2 linked regions of the Canis lupus familiaris genome follow. The protein of the gene in region 2 interacts with the protein of the main gene of each other region in a biochemical or structural test. Links are inferred from orthologs where the notes say so. Each region holds a gene or a part of one and is shown on either strand. Other genes may lie near its edges.

The links. The genes of interacting proteins can lie anywhere in the genome.
Region 1: the proteins of TNFRSF13B (region 2) and TNFSF13B form a complex in vitro, tested with the Homo sapiens proteins (3 studies listed by BioGRID and IntAct, with this or other methods). The link is inferred for Canis lupus familiaris from reciprocal best matches to the Homo sapiens genes TNFRSF13B and TNFSF13B.

The regions. Positions count from the first base shown.
Region 1 is NC_049243.1:57,179,893-57,190,088, reverse strand, and holds the start of TNFSF13B (tumor necrosis factor ligand superfamily member 13B), read right to left. Parts: upstream 6,070-10,196; 5' UTR 5,839-6,069; coding exon 5,482-5,838; intron 5,385-5,481; coding exon 5,297-5,384; intron 1-5,296. UniProt on the Homo sapiens protein: Cytokine that binds to TNFRSF13B/TACI and TNFRSF17/BCMA. TNFSF13/APRIL binds to the same 2 receptors. Together, they form a 2 ligands -2 receptors pathway involved in the stimulation of B- and T-cell function and the regulation of humoral immunity.
Region 2 is NC_049226.1:42,658,018-42,668,184, forward strand, and holds the start of TNFRSF13B (tumor necrosis factor receptor superfamily member 13B), read left to right. Parts: upstream 1-5,252; 5' UTR 5,253-5,331; coding exon 5,332-5,392; intron 5,393-7,309; exon of another isoform or gene 7,310-7,486; intron 7,487-10,167. UniProt on the Homo sapiens protein: Receptor for TNFSF13/APRIL and TNFSF13B/TALL1/BAFF/BLYS that binds both ligands with similar high affinity. Mediates calcineurin-dependent activation of NF-AT, as well as activation of NF-kappa-B and AP-1.

The sequences.
Region 1 (10,196 bases), on a different chromosome or scaffold from region 2:
ACACTTATGGGCTGAAAAGTGAACTTTTGGCTAATGCATGCCATTTGGCAATTCTTTGATCCTGGATTTCCCCACATTTCTGTTTGTTAGATTACAATCAGAAATTATCTTATGAAACACAGAAACTTAATAAGACTTCCATTTGAAACACAACACAATTAAGAAAAACAAAACCGGAGCCAAATACCCAAAGTGTATAACTAAGCAAGAGGCAGCATTTACCCTTGAGAGGACTGGAAGAATGTCAAGTGGGCACGTGGGCTGAGGCTGATGTCGTCCCTTCATCTACTGCTATTCGTTTTGTGAATACTCACCAAGCTGTCTCCTTAAGATACGTGCCCTTTTCCACATGTAAATAATACTTCAATTAAAACCAAAACATTAAAGAAAACCCGAAATCCATGAAATTAGAGTTAGATTGCTGAATATGTGAGTTTATCTCTGACTCTTCAGCGAACCCAGATTGTGCCTCTACCTGGTGAACCAAGAAGGTCTGGGACAAGGGGCCCCTGAACTCTCCCTGCAACTCTAGCCTTGCAAGCAACCTCATCCTTTGGCAAATTAGCTGCTTTCAATGTCAAGTTAAAAAATTGCATAAGATGGCCTCTGATCTAAACCTGAGAAATGAAGAAATATGGGAAAATCACTCCCTCTTCAAATGATGCCAAGTCATTGCATCTTACCTCATAGTAAGCCCCAAATCAATCAGCAAATATTCATAGAACACCTACTGTGTGGAAGTATCACAATGAATGTGCCAAAGAAAGAGGACCTGGACCACAGAAGCCTCTACTCTTAGGTTGTACAGACAGGACACATACAAACCTCCCCTGGGTGCTATGTAATCCCAGGTGTGCTACATACTGAGGATGTGGTATGTTCTACCCCAACACCCTGGAGTTTATTTACAAACTGAACAAGCACACAATAAAACTGAAGTGCTGCTGAAATTTAGATTGGATTTACAGAGAAATAAAAATGGGCAACGTCCTGGGGTGTTATTTAGCAATAGTTAGTTCTGAACCTATTTGACATAGTTATAAAATGATGGCACACTGATATTGAGGAGTATATGTAGAAAGCAGACTACTCTTTAAAAAAATCTGAAACAATATTATAATTCTGTTAAGTACAAGTCCAGTAAGGGTGTTGATGTGGCTCAAAACTATCCATGAGATTGAATGCTACAATATTTGTTGAAAATTCTGTATATTTTAAAACAGTTTAATAAGCTATTTAAAAATCCCAGAACTCCAAAATCACAACAAAACCTTTTTAATAATTAACTATGAAAGAACAGTAAAACCTAAGAAAATTCTATCTAATTGGGAAATTTAAGATTTGTTATTTAATAAAAAGATATTAAGCATTATTGGTTATATAAATTAAACAGTGAACAAATTCATTTTCATCTTCAGAGTTACAATTTGCATAAAATTCCAACAGAAACTGTCAATGGTTCTATAATGCATATAGAAAATGAATAAATAAGAACAAGAATGGACAGTTTGAAAGTAACAGGGACAACCTAAAGTTTTTGAGGCTTACTTAATAAAATCAGGACAAGGGGTGCCTGGGTGGCTCAGTCGGTTAAGTGTCCAACTTGTGGTTTTGACTCAGGTCATGACCTCGGGGTCCTGGGATTGAGCTCCACATCTGGCTTCCTGCTCAGTGGGGTATCTGCCTTTCCCTCTGCCTCTGCCACTGCCTTCAGCTCATAGTCTCTCTCTCTCTCAAATAAATAAACAAATATCTTAAAAAAAAATCAGAACTAGAATAGAAACAAACAAAAACAAAGAAAGTTGCATAGATTCAAATTATACAGAATTTTCTCAACTCCAAAGAAAGGACATTACCAAACAGAGAAAGAAAGAAAGAAAGAAAGAAAGAAAGAAAGAAAGAAAGAAAGAAAGAAAGAAAGAAAGGAGTCAAGGAGTTCCAGACAACCCTCTTGGTTACATACACATTACTCTTGTAGTACTAAGCAAATTACATTTTCCCTGCACAGAAGGATGGCATCTAAAATGACATTCAAGCCAGTTTCACCAATGAGGAATAGCAGATATGACCTGTAACTGAGGTCCTCCTCTTCAAGGAGAGGAGATCTCCTCTCAGATCTATGGACGTTATGAGTGTTAGTGTGTATATATATGGGGGGTACTATTTATTGCATATATATGTTATCTATACATATTTGATATATTTATATACATACTATATATACCTATACTAATATATATATATAATGTATATATACATACATATATACTATATAAAAGGTCTATATATATACTATATATATACTATATAAAAGGTCTATGAAAATCTCAGGCAAATTATGATTATGAAAATAGCAGTTATATCTGGGCTGTGGAAACTGGGTAAATTTTTATTCACTTGATACAATTTTTTGTTACTTTCCAAACTTTCTAAAAATTACAAATTTATTTAGAGAAAATTTTTAATCAGTATATGATTTTTGGATGCCATAGAATCACAAATTTGTAAAATTTTGCACATAGGAGGAAAATTTAAATATAATAGAGGGTATTTATGGAAGTGGGACTCTGGGAGTTAATTAATTTCTTATTCAATGTCGTTTCTTCTTAAACCTGCTATAATGAGCCCTTTGCAGCTCTTTTGCAATGGTAAAGTTAAGGATTATTCATAAACCTAATGTGCAGAGACTGGAGGATACTAGCACGGAGGTTGAAGAAGATTGAAACATTCTGACTCTATGAGATATTAAAGCTCATTATATTACAAAATACTTAACATATTTTATTTAATACAGATAAAAAGAATAATAAATCAATGAAAATGTCTCAAAATAGATTCAACTATATGTGAGAAACTTAATACAACACAGTAAGCTTTCCAATGCAAACAAGTTAAAAAGAATCATCTAATAAATTTAGTTGAGATATTAGGAATAATTTAGAAGGAAAAAAATTAAAGAAGAAAGGGTAAGTTAAAGCTAGTAGACATGATCTACCAAATGAATGCCAGGAGGATTAAGGAGTTAAATAACAGCAAACTAAAACACAAAGTTGTAAACAAGTCAAAGTGGTAGAGAATAGAATAGGCTATGTAAGAAATTATGAAGAAATACATTTTTAGCTTTAACGTATGACAGAGATCAGAAGGAAAAGTTTATCATATTACATACACAGATGTAAAATCTCTGTACACATTTTAAATAAGCAAGATATTGGGAAGATATTTACAGCAAAATTTTGATAAACAGAATGTTTAATATAGTTCATTCAAATCACAAAGAATTAGGACAAATGAGGGAAGTTATAAATAAAAATTAGCAGAAGATAAAATTAGAAGTTATGTAAATACGCAGAAATTCTTATTTGTAAGCAAATAACAAATTACATTTGAGATACTGTTTACAACTACCAAGCTAGCCAACATAAATTTTAAAAGATAAAACACTAAGAATGTGGAGAACTTGTACAGTGCATTTCTGACTACAATACATTTATAATTCATTTTGGAAGCAACATGGCAAAAGGGAGTAAGGGTGATAAAGATGTTTATCCTCTTTATTTCTGATATTCTTTCTTTGGAACATGTAATTCATCAGAAATAAGAGGGTGGCCCAGGTGGTGCAGCGGTTTAGCGCCGCCTTCGGCCCAGGATGTGATCCTGGAGTTCCAGGATCGAGTCCCACGTGGAGCCTGCTTCTCCCTCTGACTGTGTCTCTGCCTCTCTCTCTCTCTCTGTGTGTGTGTCTCTCATGAATAAATAAGTAAAATCTTAAAAAAAAAAAAAAAGAAAAAAGAAAAAAGAAATCTGCACAAAAGTTTTGGAAATGGTCATGTTAAATAACTGTGTGACAGGAAACTAACATGGATGTGTGAGAATAACTTAGTAGTAGGGAAAATGCTTATTGCATAATGATAAGTGAACACAAAAATAAATCCATAGTATATATGCTGTATTTTTTCAGTTAGGTAGGAAATACATATGATAAAATTGCAAAGTATGAAAATAATTCATGTGTTAAAGTATAGTAAAAGTACTCACATTTCCTAGTTTATATATATTTAAACCCAACTGTTTCTGATACTTGACACAAAGCATATGTAGAAAATTATGGTTTTAAGGAAGAGGTAAGAATTTTCTTTCCATGAATAAGGCAGTTAGTGAATACATTTCCAGCCAAAGCACCTAATGTGTGTGAGTGTGTGTGTGTGGTCTGACGGAAGAACACCTAGTCTCTAAGTCATGTGCTTCCCTCCACAAGTACAAATACATATGTACAGAACTACACCTGTTCTGCTCACCTCAAGGCCAACGTGAGGACTTAAGGAAATGGTAGCCGTGACAATAACTATCCCAGCATGCGCCAAGCAGGCCCATGCTGTTTGCTCAAAACGTGTTCTTTCAAAAAAAGGAAAGAGAAAGAAGAAAAGAAAAGAAAAGAAAAGAAAAGAAAAAAAAAGAAAGAAAAGAAAAGAAAAGAAAGAAAAGAAAAGAAAAGAAAAGAAAAGAAAAGAAAAGAAAAGAAAAGAAAAGGAATGATACCAGGGATTGTTTAAGTTGTGATATTATTGAATGAATGTAATGCTCTTTTTCATCGTTGAAATGCAGGAACTAGAATCAAACATTTGGGGAAGCTCTGCCCAATCCAAGGTTTCTGGAATCTCTAAGACTGTGGAATAAGTGGGACAGAAAGAAAGGCAGCAATCATGAAAGAACTCTTCCTGGAAAAGTTCCTGGAAAAGCATTAAAGAAAAGCTTTAAAATCTGTGTGTATACGCATGCATGCGTGCGTGTGTGCATGTGTGTGTGTGTAAAATGAACTTTTTTAGAACTACAGCAATAAACAAATCACAAACACACACCTGCTCCCAACAGGAGCTTCACTGGGCTGCATGGCACACAAGGTGCCCTCAGGAAGTGTTTACCTTTACCTGACTGTCCATGACTCAGGTAGACAGAACCTATACTGACCTGAAGCGCTTTCCTGCTGGAGTGATGGACACTGTTTCCAACACAGGCACGATCTATTGGAGGAAGACTCTGGGCTCTTTCTCATCCTTTATGCTGCCAGGACAGCAGGGCCCTCACTATGCTCATTGGAGGACAAAACGTGGCGTGCAGGCTCATCAATGTGCCAATGCACAGGCTGTGCCCTAAAGCCACATCTGGTGTAAATGCACCTCTCACAGTCTTTGAGTACTGATCAATCAACTCTCGGGACCTCAAAGCAGAGGCCAGCCTCCACACCTGTGGATGCCAGGCTCCCTGGCTCCCAAATGCTTCTGCACCCAAAACTTACCTGTTTCTTCCGGCCCCTGAATGGCACGCTTGTTTCTGCTGCTTTGGCTGGAGTTGCCTTCTCCTGCAGCGGATGGTGCCAAGATTCCCTAAGGAGAGAAAAACCCCAAGTTATTGCAAAGATATCTGAGGTGTGGGGGGCAGTGGTGCGGGGCAAACCTGGGGCCGCAGCTGCTGCAAACTCACGTTCAGAGCTGAGGTGACAGCTGGGGTCTCCCGCATGGCTGCCCTGGGGGCCCTGGCTCTGGCCTGCGGAGGGCCTGGCAGCCGCTCAGGCTCAGCGTGCTGTTCCCGCAGCTCCGCCCGGAGGCTCCCCAGCTCCGCTTGCAAGGCAGCCGCCCTGTGGAAAGACACCACGGAGAGGCAGCAGGCCGTCAGGGCCAGTAGCAGGGTCACGGCCAGCAGCGTTCCATCTTTGGAGCATGGGACAGAGGGGCTTTCCTTCAGGGGGAGGATGGAGACACACTCCTTCAGTTTCATTTCTTCTCCCCTCTCAAGGCAAGGAGAAAGGCGTGACTGCTGGCCTTCTGTGCAGCCATCCATGGCACTCCCGCAACTTTGAAGGTTTGGACCTTTCGAGTAAGTGAGCGCAGGGACCGGATCATTTCCTGTGAGCTGTGCTTGCTCATGTCCTACACGGACTACATGGCCTGGCCCCGTGGTCGCCCTCAGGAGAGCTCTCCTGAGCTTCCCTCCGTCTGCCTGGCCGCATCGCGGGGCCCCCCCGGTATGATAGGTCTTCCTGGCACTGGCCCTTCTATTCGATTGCCCAATCATTTCCTCATTTCACTTTCAGTTTTTGTAAGAATTTTAATCGCATCTAAGACACACACACACACACACACAAACGGGCCTCGGGCATCCATTGGTATGACAGGACATGGGGTTTGAGCTGGTACACTTGGGACAGCTGGACAGGTACCGGAGGAGCCGCCGGTGGCAGGACGGGAGCCACTCTGCTCGGGGCCACATGGCTTCGGAGGGCAGGGGAAAACACACTGACGTTCCTGCTGCTGTAATAAAAATAATTAATGCGAAGGTCAGATAAGCTAAGTACTAGCACTGAACTGTACTCAGCTGGAGAATGATTTATGAACAGTTTCAGAGTAGGAAATAAAACGAGATTTCCTCAGGGGAGGCACAGACATCCACTGGGGAATATTCTTTTTATTATTATCTTAGCAATGAGATAAAAAGAATGTGACTAAATTTGGGGGATGTAGTTAGATTACACATGAGGGCTTCTTTATATGCAGGGGATGCATTTTGAAGGGAAACATGTGTACTGCGTTCCTTCTGGGACTCACTGCCCGGCAGGCAGCCACGCACAGGACGGCCAAGCTGGGAAGCACTCCCACTAAGCTCCAAGTGTCCGCTCAGGCCGACAGCATCTGGGAAAACTGGCCTTATCTCCAGCTCCAAGTGCCTCAGTCCAGCCCACCATGAACTAAGTGCTCTTTCCCTAAAGCAGCTAATCTACTGGTCCTTATTAGGTTGACCCTGCCCCAATCTACTGTGTCTGTGAACAACCTGATTCAGCCCAGAGTCATGGTAGCTCCAAATCATGGCTGCTGGATGTGGTCTTGCCGCCAAGACACGTCTTGATGGCTAGCTCCTGAGTACTTCCTGGGGTCTGGCTGCTCGGCTCCTAGGACCTGCATGTTGTGTCAGGAGCTCACACTTCAACAAATGCTACTGAGCAATTGCCAAGGCCTGGCTGGGCCTGAGTCCTCCATGTGCCACGACTGGAGCGCTAGCTCTGTCTCACATGATGTCCCTATGCCAGCTTCAAAAGGAAAGTCACAGAAATAACGTAAGTGAGGGTAGGAGCTCCAGAGCCAGGGTGTGAATCCTCACTCTCCTTGGTCAAAACACATGGTGTGTCTGGGATTCGGTTTTCTGTCTGTGAAATGGGATGGTAAGGGTCCTTGGGAACTGTAACAGGGCTTATAGGAACCAGGACAAACTAGATTTAATATGCTTCCATTTCTCATCCATTTTCACTCATGACATGAACTATTTTTCTTTATTACAAATGGCACCATCACAGACGTCTTCGTGCGGGTCTCCTTGGAATGTCTGCAGGGATTTCCCCGGGAGACACCTGCTAGGGTGTCAGCACATCTTCACCTCTGTCAGGAGTCACAGAGCAGCCTCCCTGAGGAGTTCCTGCTTCCTCCCCGGCTCACGAGGGGTGACGTCACCAGACACTCATTTTTACCTGCTAGGTTCCTTTATGTCTGTGAGTTCTAAGACCTTGTTAAATGACTTTTACAGAACTTGGAAAAAAAAAATAACACCTCTAAAAAGTTCTTTTGAAGATTACCTTGGCCGCCCAAAGCAGCTGTTCTCCGATCTCTCAGGTGAGTGCGTGAGCAGACTCCTTTGTGTCAGATGTCACGTAATACACGTCTTCTGTCATAGTTCTTGCTTCCAGGCCAATCAGGGGGACATACACTAGAGAAAAAGAAAAAAAGAAAAGAAAGAAAAGAAAAGAAAAGAAAAGAAAAGAAAAGAAAAGAAAAGAAAAGAAAAGAAAAGAAAAGGAAAAGAAAGAGAAAGAAAGAAAGAAAGAAGAAAGAAAGAAAGAAAGAAAGAAAGAAAGAAAGAAAGAAAGAAAGAAAGAAAGAAAGAAAGAAGAAAAGAAAAGGAAAGAAAAGAAAGAATCAGTTTGGGGATTATACTAAACCCTTCTGACTGAAAGTAAGGGAAGCTCACTCAGGTTTATGTGTGTGTGTTAATATTACCCAAAGACATATGGAATAAAAGAATTTGAGGCAGTGCTAGAAATTCATCGCTCTGTGCTTTTACTCAGGACACTTGTAGCCACCGCTTCTTTCTGTGAGTTGACTTTCTTCCACTTTTGGTGGGACACTCTTGTCCATATGCTGCTGTAAAAATTGCAGAGAGGGGGAATAGTTCGATTGCGTTAGAGAATTAGTTCTGCCTTCATTGCTCTTTTGGATAGACACCTTCATGGCCGACTGTCTTCAGAGAGTACCACTGACCAGCCTATGTGTAGGTCAGTTTAAAACAAGTGTCTCATCTTGGATCAAGTGGTGGGCAGCCCTAAGCATAGAGAGGGCTGGTGCTTCTTCCACAGAAGGCGGCAGGCCGGTGGCTTCCCCTGACCCAGATGTGAGGCTCACGGCTACTGCCATGTGCACATCCTTCACAGTGATCACACGACCAAATTTCTCTGAAGACAAGTGGAAACCAAGCAGCATTCATGTGCTCCTGAATTTCTTATTAGAGGAACAAAAGGAAGTTACTACTCCATAAATCAAGGATCTGTTTCCTGCTGAGGAAATGTCTTGACAATAATTTAACTGAAATTCTGTTAAACAAATAGCTTGCCACTCATTGAATAACACCCCACACCACAAGTTTATTCAGGGAAGGAAGCTACCATACCTGAGCCACAGAGTGCTCTCTGCCAGGATGCAGCTACTTCTTACCTACTTTTTTTTCCTCACCTGAAATAGAAAATATTCCCGTGTATCACAGCTACACCACTTGTAATAAATGAATCCGTATTGCTTGTCCCATCCACTCAGGACTGGGCAGATAGGAACATGTAAGAGTATAGGTGAAAAGAATTTAAGTTATGAGTTTATCCAAGGGTGTGAACCAGAGAATAAAATATTAAAAAAAAAAACGTAATTAGGAACTTCTGGCTTAATAGTATTATGAACATTTAGCGCCTTTAGGAAACCTCTCTTAGACCTCTTCTTTGAGGATAAATTATCTTTATTGAGGATGTGGACCTCTCAACTACGTGAACAAGAGCTCTTCTAGATATGTGGATGTAGCTACAATGGATCTCGGTAAAACTGGCTTCCTAAAGAGCTCAAAACGTGGTAAACAGCTGGATACAAATAATTATTACATTTGAGAAACAATCATGTTGTTTTCTTTTGGATATATGCAGTCAGTGAAACTGATTTGTAAGGCTAAATGCTAATCACCTGGTAACTGTGAAGTAATGATGTATTTTTCTGGTCATTTTGTGTACAAAAAAATAATCCGGGCAATGCTGATTCCTATTTCTCAATAGTTACACTAAAAAGAGGAGCATGTGCATTTACTGGAGCTTAATTTGTGTCACTCTTGGGAAAAACATCCACTTTTGTTAATGATTTAGTTTCATTTGCAAATATGTCTTTAGTTTGTTGGGGCGCTGCTTTCAGACGTAATGCTGTTGAACAACAGTGTTTAAATGTGTGCTTTCAATAAATTTCTGTCGACCTCAATACTATTTTCAATGATAGTGCAGTTTAGTTTGCTCTTCTTTCCCCTTGTAACACCAACATGAATAAAATTTTAATTAGTATTAAGGTGGGTATGTGTCAGTCAATGCCATCATCTACCTATTCCATATACATGAATGAATCTGTCCATACCACATATAAGGCCACAGAATACACACTTACACCTAGGGACACTTGAATAAAAACTGGTCATATTCAACCCATCTCGAAAACACTTAGAGAAACGATAGAGTAATTGTTTCAATCGAGTAGAAGTAGAGTAATGAATCTCTGTAAGATTTCATGCAAGAAGTCTTACCCTCTGCCTCTAAAAATTATTAAGGCAGAACTTGCAAACATTTAAAATAATTTATTTGAAATTTTGTTCAATAAATGTCAGAAGTAAAGTGATGGAGGTGGAGTGCCCAGGTCAGACATGTATGTCTGCATGCCTAAGGTTGCTTCACCATCTAAACAGACTCTTTTCTGCCCAAAATCTAGAAACTGATTTTTTTCCCTACCTTCAGCACCACTTTATTATTTTTTTTTAATTTAAATTCAAGGGGCACTTGGTGGCACAATTGGTTAAGTGTCCAACTCTTGATTTCGGCTCAGGTCATGATCTCAGGGTTGTGAGATCAAACCACATAT
Region 2 (10,167 bases):
AGAAAACCCTGGCTGAGAAACGTAGAAGGAATGATAGATGTAGAAAGTCACCACATTTCAAGTGTTATAGTTGTTTCACACAAGGACCGTCAGTGAATGGTGGTTGGGGAGCAGGATGTGCAAGGTGTCAGAGTACCACCTGCGGGTGACACTCGTTGTAAAGGGGGCAGGGTGCCTCTACATGGAGACATCTGGTGTCACCACCTTAACAGGCGGTTCCAGTTGGGCATCACCACATGGGGGATCGTTGACACCACGCAGCACTAGCTGAGAATCTACATCTATTTACCCCATCACCTGGAATGTCTCCTCCCCACTTGGAGCCCAAATCCAAGCAAGTGTGCAGACCTATCATTCTGCTTCCAGGGGGCTAGAGGAACATGTTAAAGCACAGGGGACAAGCCATGAGAGATGCGGATGTGGGACATTGTATAAGACAGAGGCTGAGTCCATGTCAACCAAAGAAAGAAAAAGAAGATAAAAGAAAACAAAGAGCAAAAGGGAAAGGACTATTCTAGACCCCAAAAATGACTACACAGACATAATAATGACATGCCACGTGTGACCCTCGGCTGGATTCTGATTCAAAAGAGGCAGCCAAGAAAATCTTTGGACAACATCTGGGAAATCTTAAGTATGGACTAGATATTGGATGGGGTTTCAAGTTATTATTGATTTTCTTAGGTGTAGAAATGCTAAGTGTAGGGAAGAGAAGGTCTGTGTGTTAGGAGATGTCTGCTGGAGCGCTGAGGAGTGAATGTTACACCTTCTGCAAATGCTTTCGGGTGTCTCAGCAGGAAAGTAGACTGTAGACAGACACCAATGTGAACACTTGTCAAATGTCACTGGAGGGTCCATGGGTATTTGTTCTCTGTTACTTTTAGCCTTTCTCTGAGTTTCGAATTTTTTATAATAAAGAATTTTGAGGGGATTTTTTTTTAATGGACAGAGAAACTAGATCTTCCCACAGAAGTTTGCGGCTCTTGCTATAGAAACTGCTGTTTGCTTTTTTGAAGTGGGTTTTGCTAAAGTATTTAGAATTTCTGAGAAACTAACACAAATCGAGGGAGGGAGTGGGTACTTTAGCAACGTAGGAAATTCACATCTGAGTCGCATATGTAAATTGCAATCATGAAAATCAGGGCTTTCACTGCATTTCTAAGAAATGCCCTTTTTTGGATACTCTTGCTTTTGTCTTACCTCTAGGACTCTCAGAGAAGGTTCCACAGCATGGCCTCAAAAGGGCCTGGGGTGGGGGGTTGGCAGGTGCCAGGGTGCTGCTCACCAGACAAATCCCCACTGCCTCAGAGAGACCACGACACCGCTGGGCAGGAGTTCTCAGGCCCAAAATATCGCCGCCGTGCTTGTGTAGAGTGGAACAGTCCTGTTGGAAAATATTGATCATGGGCAGCCCGGGTCGCTCAGTGGCTTAGCGCCGCCTTCAGTCCAGGCGTGATCCCGGAGAACCGGGATCGAGTCCCACGTCGGGCTCCCTGCATGGAGCCTGCTTCTCCCTCTGCCTGTGTCTCTGCCTCTCTCCCTCTCTCTCTGTGTGTGTCTCTATGAATAAATAAATAAAATCTTTAAAAAAATAAAAAGAAAATATTGATCAATGTGACGTCTCCTTTGACCAAATAATCCACTTAGGGAATTCAAGCCATTAGATGAGACACAGAGATAAAATATATATTAAATGAATATATGTAAGGGGTTTAAAATAGTGCCTGGAACATGGTGAGTGCTACGTAAATGCTCACTATTGTTATTCTTTGTAATAGGCATTTTATTTTTTATTTATTTATTTATTTATTTTTTGTAATAGGCATTTTAAAGAACTCCTTTAAAAGGTTAGGTTTGGGCTGCTGGGGTGGCTCAGCGGTTTAGTGCTGCCTTCAGTCCAGGGCCTGATCCTGGAGACCCAGGATCGAGTCCCACGTCGGGCTCCCTGCATGGAGCCTGCTTCTCCTCTGCCTGTGTCTCTACCTCTCTCTCTCTCTCTCTCTCTCTCTGTCTCTGTCTCTCTGTGTGTGTGTCTCATGAATAAATAAATAAAATCTTAAAAAAAATAAAAAGATAAAGCTTGATAGAATATATTGGGTGAAAAAAAAAGCCAGATGTTTACAGTGTGTTGAATCCGTATGCACAAGTAATTGTGTAAAAACTGTGTATGGGGGTGGAGGGGATGGGGCAAAATCTATCATCTATCGACGTGTGCATGCATGTAAATGTCAAGGCTTGGCCGGAAGCCTGTGTGAACCAGATCTGGTCACAGTTGCCACCTTTGAACAGGGAAAGGGGCCATCTAGAGTATCTAGATAGGAGAAAAATTTCTTTTTTGCTATAGTCCCTTTCACACTGAATTTTTCTTTACCATGTGCTCATTTTAACTGTTTAGGTGACCCTATTTGAATGAATCAGCTCCCAAACCTGGAGGTATACAAGGTGCCTTCACTCTGGGTCCCAGAACTCTTCTGTCCCCTTTAAATGTGGGGACTTAAAATTAGAATCCCGCGTCCCCCCCTGGGGGAGACAGCTCTCGGAGAGGGCTGGTTTCAGAATGATGTTCAGAAACCTCCAGCACCTGTTCTGAGGGAGCCCAGGGAGGAAGGGAATCTATTTTCATAGGTCATGAAATTTGAGCTCAGTACCACAATAATAAAATTCCTTGCAATTGTGTGGCACTGGTGGGGACAGATCACACATGCTTTGGTCTGGGCTGTCCTGTTTGAGCTTAACATTCATCCATTGGATCAGGAGAAAATGAGGCTTGCAGAGGCTAAGCAAGCCCCCCCGCCAAAATGTCCCACAGCTTTGCTCTGTCTGGTTTAATAAAATCTAGTAACAACGGAAAGGAGCCAGAAGAAAGAAGTGGATAATCCCATCTGTAGGTTCCTGTTTATACGGTCAGGAACAGACAACATGAATCTGTGGGGACAGAGGTCAGAATGAGGGCGATTCTGGGGTGATGTGGTGGCTGCTGGGAGAGGCAGGGAGGGGGGCTTCTGGGGGCCCCAAGTGTTCTCAGTCTTGATCTGGGTAGCATTACCTGGGTATGCACATCTGTAAACTATTCACTGACCTGCACACTTCAAATTCTTGCATTTCACTGCACGTAAATTGCACTTTTAAATGAAGAAAATAGAAAGCAAATAAGATCCATTATTTGTAAAGACTGTTCCAGCAAAAGCATTAGCAAGCTGTGATCAGCAATGAGACATTAGGAAACCCTGCCATCCCGTTCTTGGCCTCCCCGGGAGTCAGATCTGATTCTGTTTGACTTTTGTTTCACGTGTAACTTTTGTTTTGTTGGCTTTAAAACTCAAAAGTGCTATCTCATTGAGCAAGGCAATGTGTGTGGTTCCAGAGACCAGCAGTCAGTCCAGCAGGTCTGCTTCTGGAAGGTACAGTCCGCTCAATAGATGGAGACAGCTTTCCAACGGTCAGAACTAACCCCCTGTGAGCCAGCTGCTCTGTGAGGTGCTGAGAGCCCCAGCTCCGGGGAAGAAGATAAGGGGGAAGTGCACTGAGGGCATCCAACAGTGACTCTGGGCTTGCCCTGATTCCACAGGCAGAAAGTTCCTGGCAACAGAACCCATGATTGCCTCTGGCTCTCGAATCCACCCCGCCTGCCTAGCTGTTGGCACAAGTAATACAGATGTATCTTCTCTGTGTAAACATTAAGAAATTACAAGTAGGGCTAAAGTCCCTCTTGACCATCACCCCCAAATCTGGTCCCCTCTTGTCCTACCCAGAGGCAACCATTGTCACCATGCTCATCTTGTCAGATGTCGTCTGTCTGCATCACGTTCGTATGTATGGTGTCACTGAAAATGCGATTTGTGATTTTATTTTACTAAAAGGTATCATGGTTTGTCTTGACAGTCATTCCATGTCACTGCTTACAGATCCAGACTGATCTTTGTAACCTTCTTGTAACCCTTCTTTGTAACCTTTGCATAATATTCCTGGTTGTGACCTGTGTACCTCACTCGGCCATCCTCCGCTGGATCGACATGGACGTTGCTTCCAGATGCTCCCTATTATTAACCACGCCTCTGCGAACATCCTTGTGCACCTGTGGTACACGGGGAAGAATGTCGGGGTTGTGAGTTAGGTGTATGTTGTACAGTTTAATGCACCCGGCAGGTTGCCCTCCAAAATGGTAGTAACAACAGCCTCCCTCTGGCAGGGCAAGAGATCGCATCTCCCTAGGTACCCCCCATATCTCCCTGTTATCAAGTTCGAAGATTGTGCCAACCTGGTGGATGAAAATCCGTTTTTCATTGTTTGTGTCGCTTTGATCATGAGATTGAGCAGTTTTTAGGTTACCAGCCCTATTTCCTCTCCGGTTGTGTTCACTATCATCCGGGTCAGCCTTTTGTTCCCCTCCTTTCCACCCTCACTCCTGCCGTAACTCCTCCCTGGATGTCATCCCACTTCCCCTCCACCTACCCGATCCCTCAAGGTTTCCTTCCTCAATGCCATGGGCTTCTAAATCTGTCTCAATCCAGTCTTAATCCTGTGGAGGTTTCAGGGGAGTTGGGAAGGCATGGAAAACAAGTTCCCATAGTGGGAAGGGGGCTATGGCGCTGATCCTCATCGTTTATTGAGAACTTACTATGTGCCAATAACTTCTGCTAAGGATTTAACTGGGTAACTCCTTTCATTCTCCTTTCCTTCTGCTAACTGTGAGCAGGTATTATCGTTATACTTACTCATGAGAAGAGAAAATGGAGGCACAGAGGCCAAGCTGAGATTCAATCCAGGGTGTCCTGCTCTGATGTCAGCCTCTCGAGTACTTTGATAGGGCTTAGGAAACACAGAGAATGGGCATTTAACCTGGTCTGGGACAGTCAGGGACAGCTTCCTGGAGGAGGTGGCCCCTCGGCTGAGCCTGAAGGCAGATCAAGAAGAGATGACCAAGCACTGAAATAGGAAGTGGTTGTCAAGAAGAGGGAAGGGCCTGGGAAGCCTCTTGTCTGGAGGCTGGAGACCTGGGTCACTCTGGCTGCAGCCTGGAGCGTGTGACACATCCAAGGGGTGGGTTGGGGCCAGATTGGGGTCATACCAGTTTCCATCTCTTCCCAAAGCCAATCCAACCTTTCCCTTGCTCTGTGGGTGCTGACGGGCGGTGTGTGGTGGGGGCTCTGCAGACAGCACCGGTGGGGACTCCGGAGTAGGCGCAGGCCGCCCACCTCGGCTCCTAACACGCAGGTGCAGGGGCGGGTGGGGGTGCCGCTGATTTACATCCTACAGGTTGGGGGGGGAAAACCCAGGAAGTGCAGCTCAGGCACTAATCAAATCTAAGGCTAATAATAAACGTCCTGAGTAATGCGTGGCTTGGGCCAGAGCAGGCGAGGCAGCCGGACTCGGACGGGCCAGGAGGAGTGGAGTGAGTAGTCGGGGAGGCGGCCAGTGGGGGGGAGTGGGGGCGAGGAGGGCTTGGCCGGGGCACAAGCTTCAATGGGGTTTGATGGGCACAGCACCCACAGCAGACGGGTAAGCTCGAGCAGTCTGGGGGTCACCCCAAGCCTCTGCACGTAGAGAGCCCCAAGTCTGGGAGCTTTAGGGGATCTGTACCTCGCATTCCAGGAGAGGAGCCGGGAAGATGGAGGGTCAGGACATAGGTGGGAGTCCCATCTGAGACAACCCCAACCCCACTCCTAAGCTGGTCAGGGCACCTGAGCCAGGTTGGTCCGAGCGTTTAAAAGTATTTTATTTTGGGATCCCTGGGTGGCTCAGCAGTTTGGCGCCTGCCTTTGGCCCAGGGCGCGATCCTGAAGTCCTGGGATCAAGTCCCACGTCGGGCTCCCTGCGTGGAGCCTGCTTCTCTCTCTGCCTCTCTCTCTCTCTCTCTTTCTCTCTCTCTCTCTATGTCTATCATAAATAAATAAATATTTTTTTAAAAAGTATTTTATTTTGAAGTCAATGCCAAAGCGGAGAGGAGAGTTTAATGCACTTTCTGCATACATCCCCCAGCTTTGGCAATTATCGACACAGGGCCGGCCTTACATTTTCTGTGCTTGCCATGTTCCCCCTCCAGCCCCACTGGATCAGTTTAGAGCTAATAACCAATTTCATATTGTTTGATTCATGGGTACCTTAGCATTAATCTCTAAAAAAACTCTTTAAAGGCCAAAAAACTAACCATCATGCCCTGACCAACTAAAAAAAGAAGGATCCCCTAGTATTACCAAATAAACAGTCAGTGTCAAGACTTCCCAACTGTCTTATCAATGTCTTTTCCAACTGATTTGATCAAATCAGGATCTGAACACAACCCACGTTATACCTTTGATTACATATTTTAATCTAGAACAGTCCCCATTTGCTCTCCTTTCTTCCCCCTGCTATATATTTATTGAAGACCCTGGATTACTTAGCCTGTAGAATTTTTATGAGAGTTTTAAAGATTCATTTGAAGGCACAATCCAGGAAGCTCAGGTTGCTGGAGTAGATGAGTCCAAGTCCATCACTGTGCAGAGGGGACCCAAGGCTAAACATGAGAGGGGCTGTCAGGGCCCTGGGTGGCCCAGCCCGGGATCCCACATTGCCGGCTGCTGCTCTGTCCCCCACGAGTCAGTCTCTGATTCCTTTCTTCATCCAGTGACCATGGCCTCAGACATATCCCCAGCTAAGGGCTCAGAGTCAAGACCAGAGGCCCCCTTGACTCAGGGTGAAACTGCCCAGGCCCCCAGGACCACAGGCCGGGACTCGGTCGGAACTGTGACCGGGCACCGAGCGTGGCTGCCGAGTATAGCAGAATCAGCCTTGGCCTGGAGTCCTAGCTCCCGGTGTTCACGGGCTCACTGGGTGACCTTGGGAGGGTTCTGCACCTCGCCAGGCTGTTTCCTCGGCTTTACAATGAAGAGGAGCCTCTGCCCCACCAGGTGTCCCCCAAAACCTCAAAAGGGCTTTGCCCCCTGCCAGAACCCCTCTTGAGGAGTCAAAGGTTGAGAGAGGGGCTGCAGTTAAAAGAGCTTTGACTTTCTTTAATCCGGCATTTTTCCAACTAAGTTGACCACAGAGGTCCTTCTTGGTATGGAAACTATTAAGCCAAGCACATGAGGACTCACAGGCAGAGGCCCCACAGTCATCCCTCCTGGCTGCTGTCCGGTCAGGGTGCAAGGTGCAGGAGGTGGGGGGTGTGAGCCTGGTCCGCAAAAGCAGGCGTGCAAGAGGACTTCTTCCCTTCTTCCCTACATGGCAACAGAACTTTCTCAAGCTTCCATTATGCCTGGCCAGTGTCAGTCTTAGGATTTTCCTGCCCCTCTTTGGGGCTGGACAATGATTCTTGAATTTTATGTAGATGCAGATGGTGGTGGAGGAGTGGGGAGCAGATACGGTGCCCTCCGGTCCGTTGGGTGTCTGCCGTCAGGCCAGTTGGGAACTATGTCCCGTCAGATCTCACAGCTCGGTGGCTTCCGATCATTAATGTCTTGGAAGCTCTCCATGTCTACATTGGAAGCCCAGAAAATATAAAAAGGTATATAATATGAAATCTTCCTTCCCTCAGTGTCCTTACCTTCCCAGTTCCTGCCTCTCTGGGAATAAACAGATTTGCTGACATATAATTTACGTGTCATAAAAGTGTACACGTCAATGTCACATTTAGTATATTTACAGAGTTGTGCAATCATCGCTATGATCTAATTTTAGAACATTTCCACACACTTCATTCCCCCTACCCCTGGCCTTAAGCTAACACTAATCTGCTTTCTATCTCTAAAGATCTTCTTGTGTTTTTGTTTTGTTTGTTTATAATGTGGAGGGAGGGGCAGAGTGAGAGGGAGGAGAATCCCAAGCAGATTCCCTGCTGAGCATGGAGCTCGATGCAGGGCTTGGGCCCAGGACCTTGAGATCATGAGCTGAAATCAAGAGTCAGCCACCCACGCGCCTCTAGATTTGCCTGCTTTGGACAATTTTATAAAAATCAAATGCGGTGTTTTGCAAACTACCTTCTTCCTCTTAGCATGATGTTTTTAAGGTTCTTTCATGTTGTAGCATCTATCAGCACTTTGCTCATTTTTATGGCCAAATAATATTCCATTTAATGGGTATAGCACATTTTATATATTCATTCATCAGTTGACGGACATTTGTGTTGTTTCTACTTTGGGGCTATTATGAATGATGGTGCCATGAATATCTGTCAAGCATTTGGATGGACATGTTTTCATTTCTCTTGGGAGTGGAATTTTGGGTCTTATGTTAATTCTATGCTTAACATTTTGAGGAACCACCAAACTGTTCTCTGCAGTAGCTGTACCATTTGATAATCTTGTTTCACATATGAGGATTCCAATTTCTCCACATCTTCACAAACACTTGTCATTATCCTTCATTTTCATTATAGCCATCTTAGTAGGTATCTCAGTGTGCTTTTGATTTGCATTTCCCTAATGACCAATGATGTTGAGCATCTTTTCATGCTCTTATTAGCCATTCACATATCTTTTTGGGAAGATGTCTAATTCCTTAACCTATTTTTAAATTGGATTGTTTTTTCGATATTCAGTTATAAGCATTCTTTAGACATTCTGGATCCCTTAACATATATATGGTTTGCAAATATATCCTCCCAGTCTGTGGATTGTCCTTTTATTTTCTTGATAGTATTCTGTGAAACACAAATGTATTTAATTTTGATGAAGTCTAATTTCTTAATCTTCTCTGTTGTCACTTATGCATTTGGTGTCATTCCTAACCCCAAGTCATGAAGAAACTCCTGTTTTCATCTAAATTTGTCATTTTAGCTCTTACATTTAGATCTATGATCACTGCGAGTTAACTTTTGTATAGGTAGGAGTCCAAATTTTTTCTTCTACACATGGCTATCCTGTTGTCTCAGCACTATTTGTTGAAAAGACGATCCTTTCTCCCATTGAATTGTCTTGGTATCCTTATTGAACATCAATTGACTATAAATATTGGGCTTTATTTGTGAACTCTGAGTTCTATTCCATTTGTCTATGCTTATCTTTATGCCAGTAATACCCTGTCTTATTTACTATTACTTTATAGTCAATTTTAAAATGGAAAAGTGTGAGTCTTCCAACTATGTTTTTCTTTTTTGAGATTGTTTTGGCTCTTCTGAGTCTCTTGCATTTCCATATGATTTTAGGATCAGCTTGTCAAACTCTGCAGAAAAGCCAGCTGGGATTTTTTACTAGGATTGCATTGACTCTATAGAAAAATTTGGGGAATATTGCCATCTTAACAATATTAAGTCTTTAATCCATGAACATGGGATGTCTCTCCATTTGTTTAGGTCTTTTAAGATTTCTATTAACAAGGTTTTATAGTTTTCAATGTACAAGTTTTGCACTTTTTAAAAATTTATTCCTAAGAATTTTATTTAAAACACCTTTTTTTGTTTGTTTGTTTCTTAAGTTTCTTTATAGTGTTTCTTTGTGAATATGCCAACACTTACAGATTTGAATTTCCCCCTTTTTGCAAAAAAGGAAGGAGGGAGGGAGGGAAGGAAGGCAGGAGGGGTCTCAATGAGCCATACTGTTATGTACCTGTTTGTTTTTATTTTTGCTTTTCCACATAATATACCTTGGAGCTCTGTCCATAGAAATATATAAAGAGCTTCCTAATTCTTTTTTTATAGATGCACAATAGTCCCATATATAAGCATACTATAGTTTACTTATCGGTCCTCTATTGATGGCCGTTTGAGGTTTCACCAATCTTCTGCTATCACAAACACTGCTGCAAAGAATTTATCATTTCACACTCTGGGATAAATCCCAGGGTTTAATCACTGTATCACTGATCAATGCATCAGTAATTTTGACAAATGTTGTCAGCTTGCCCTCCACGAGGGTTATCCCTATTTCCTCCCCTTTCAGAGTGAATGAAAGTGCCAGTTTCCTCATTACTCTGCTAATAGAAGGTGTTATTAAGCTTCTGGATTTTTAGGTCTATTAGAGGGAAGATAGTATCAACATAGTTTGAGTTCACCCATCTCTTAGGAATGAGACCAGACATCTTTATGATGTTTTTCTCTGTCTAAGAACTGTCTATTCATTGTGTTTGCTCAATTTTCTATTGAGTAGCTGGCCTTTTCCCTTCTGTTTATAGATATGAACTGCAATGTTTTGTTCTCATTTTTCATTTCCCTTTAGACTTCTTTGAAGGCATTTTTTGCCACATTTAGGG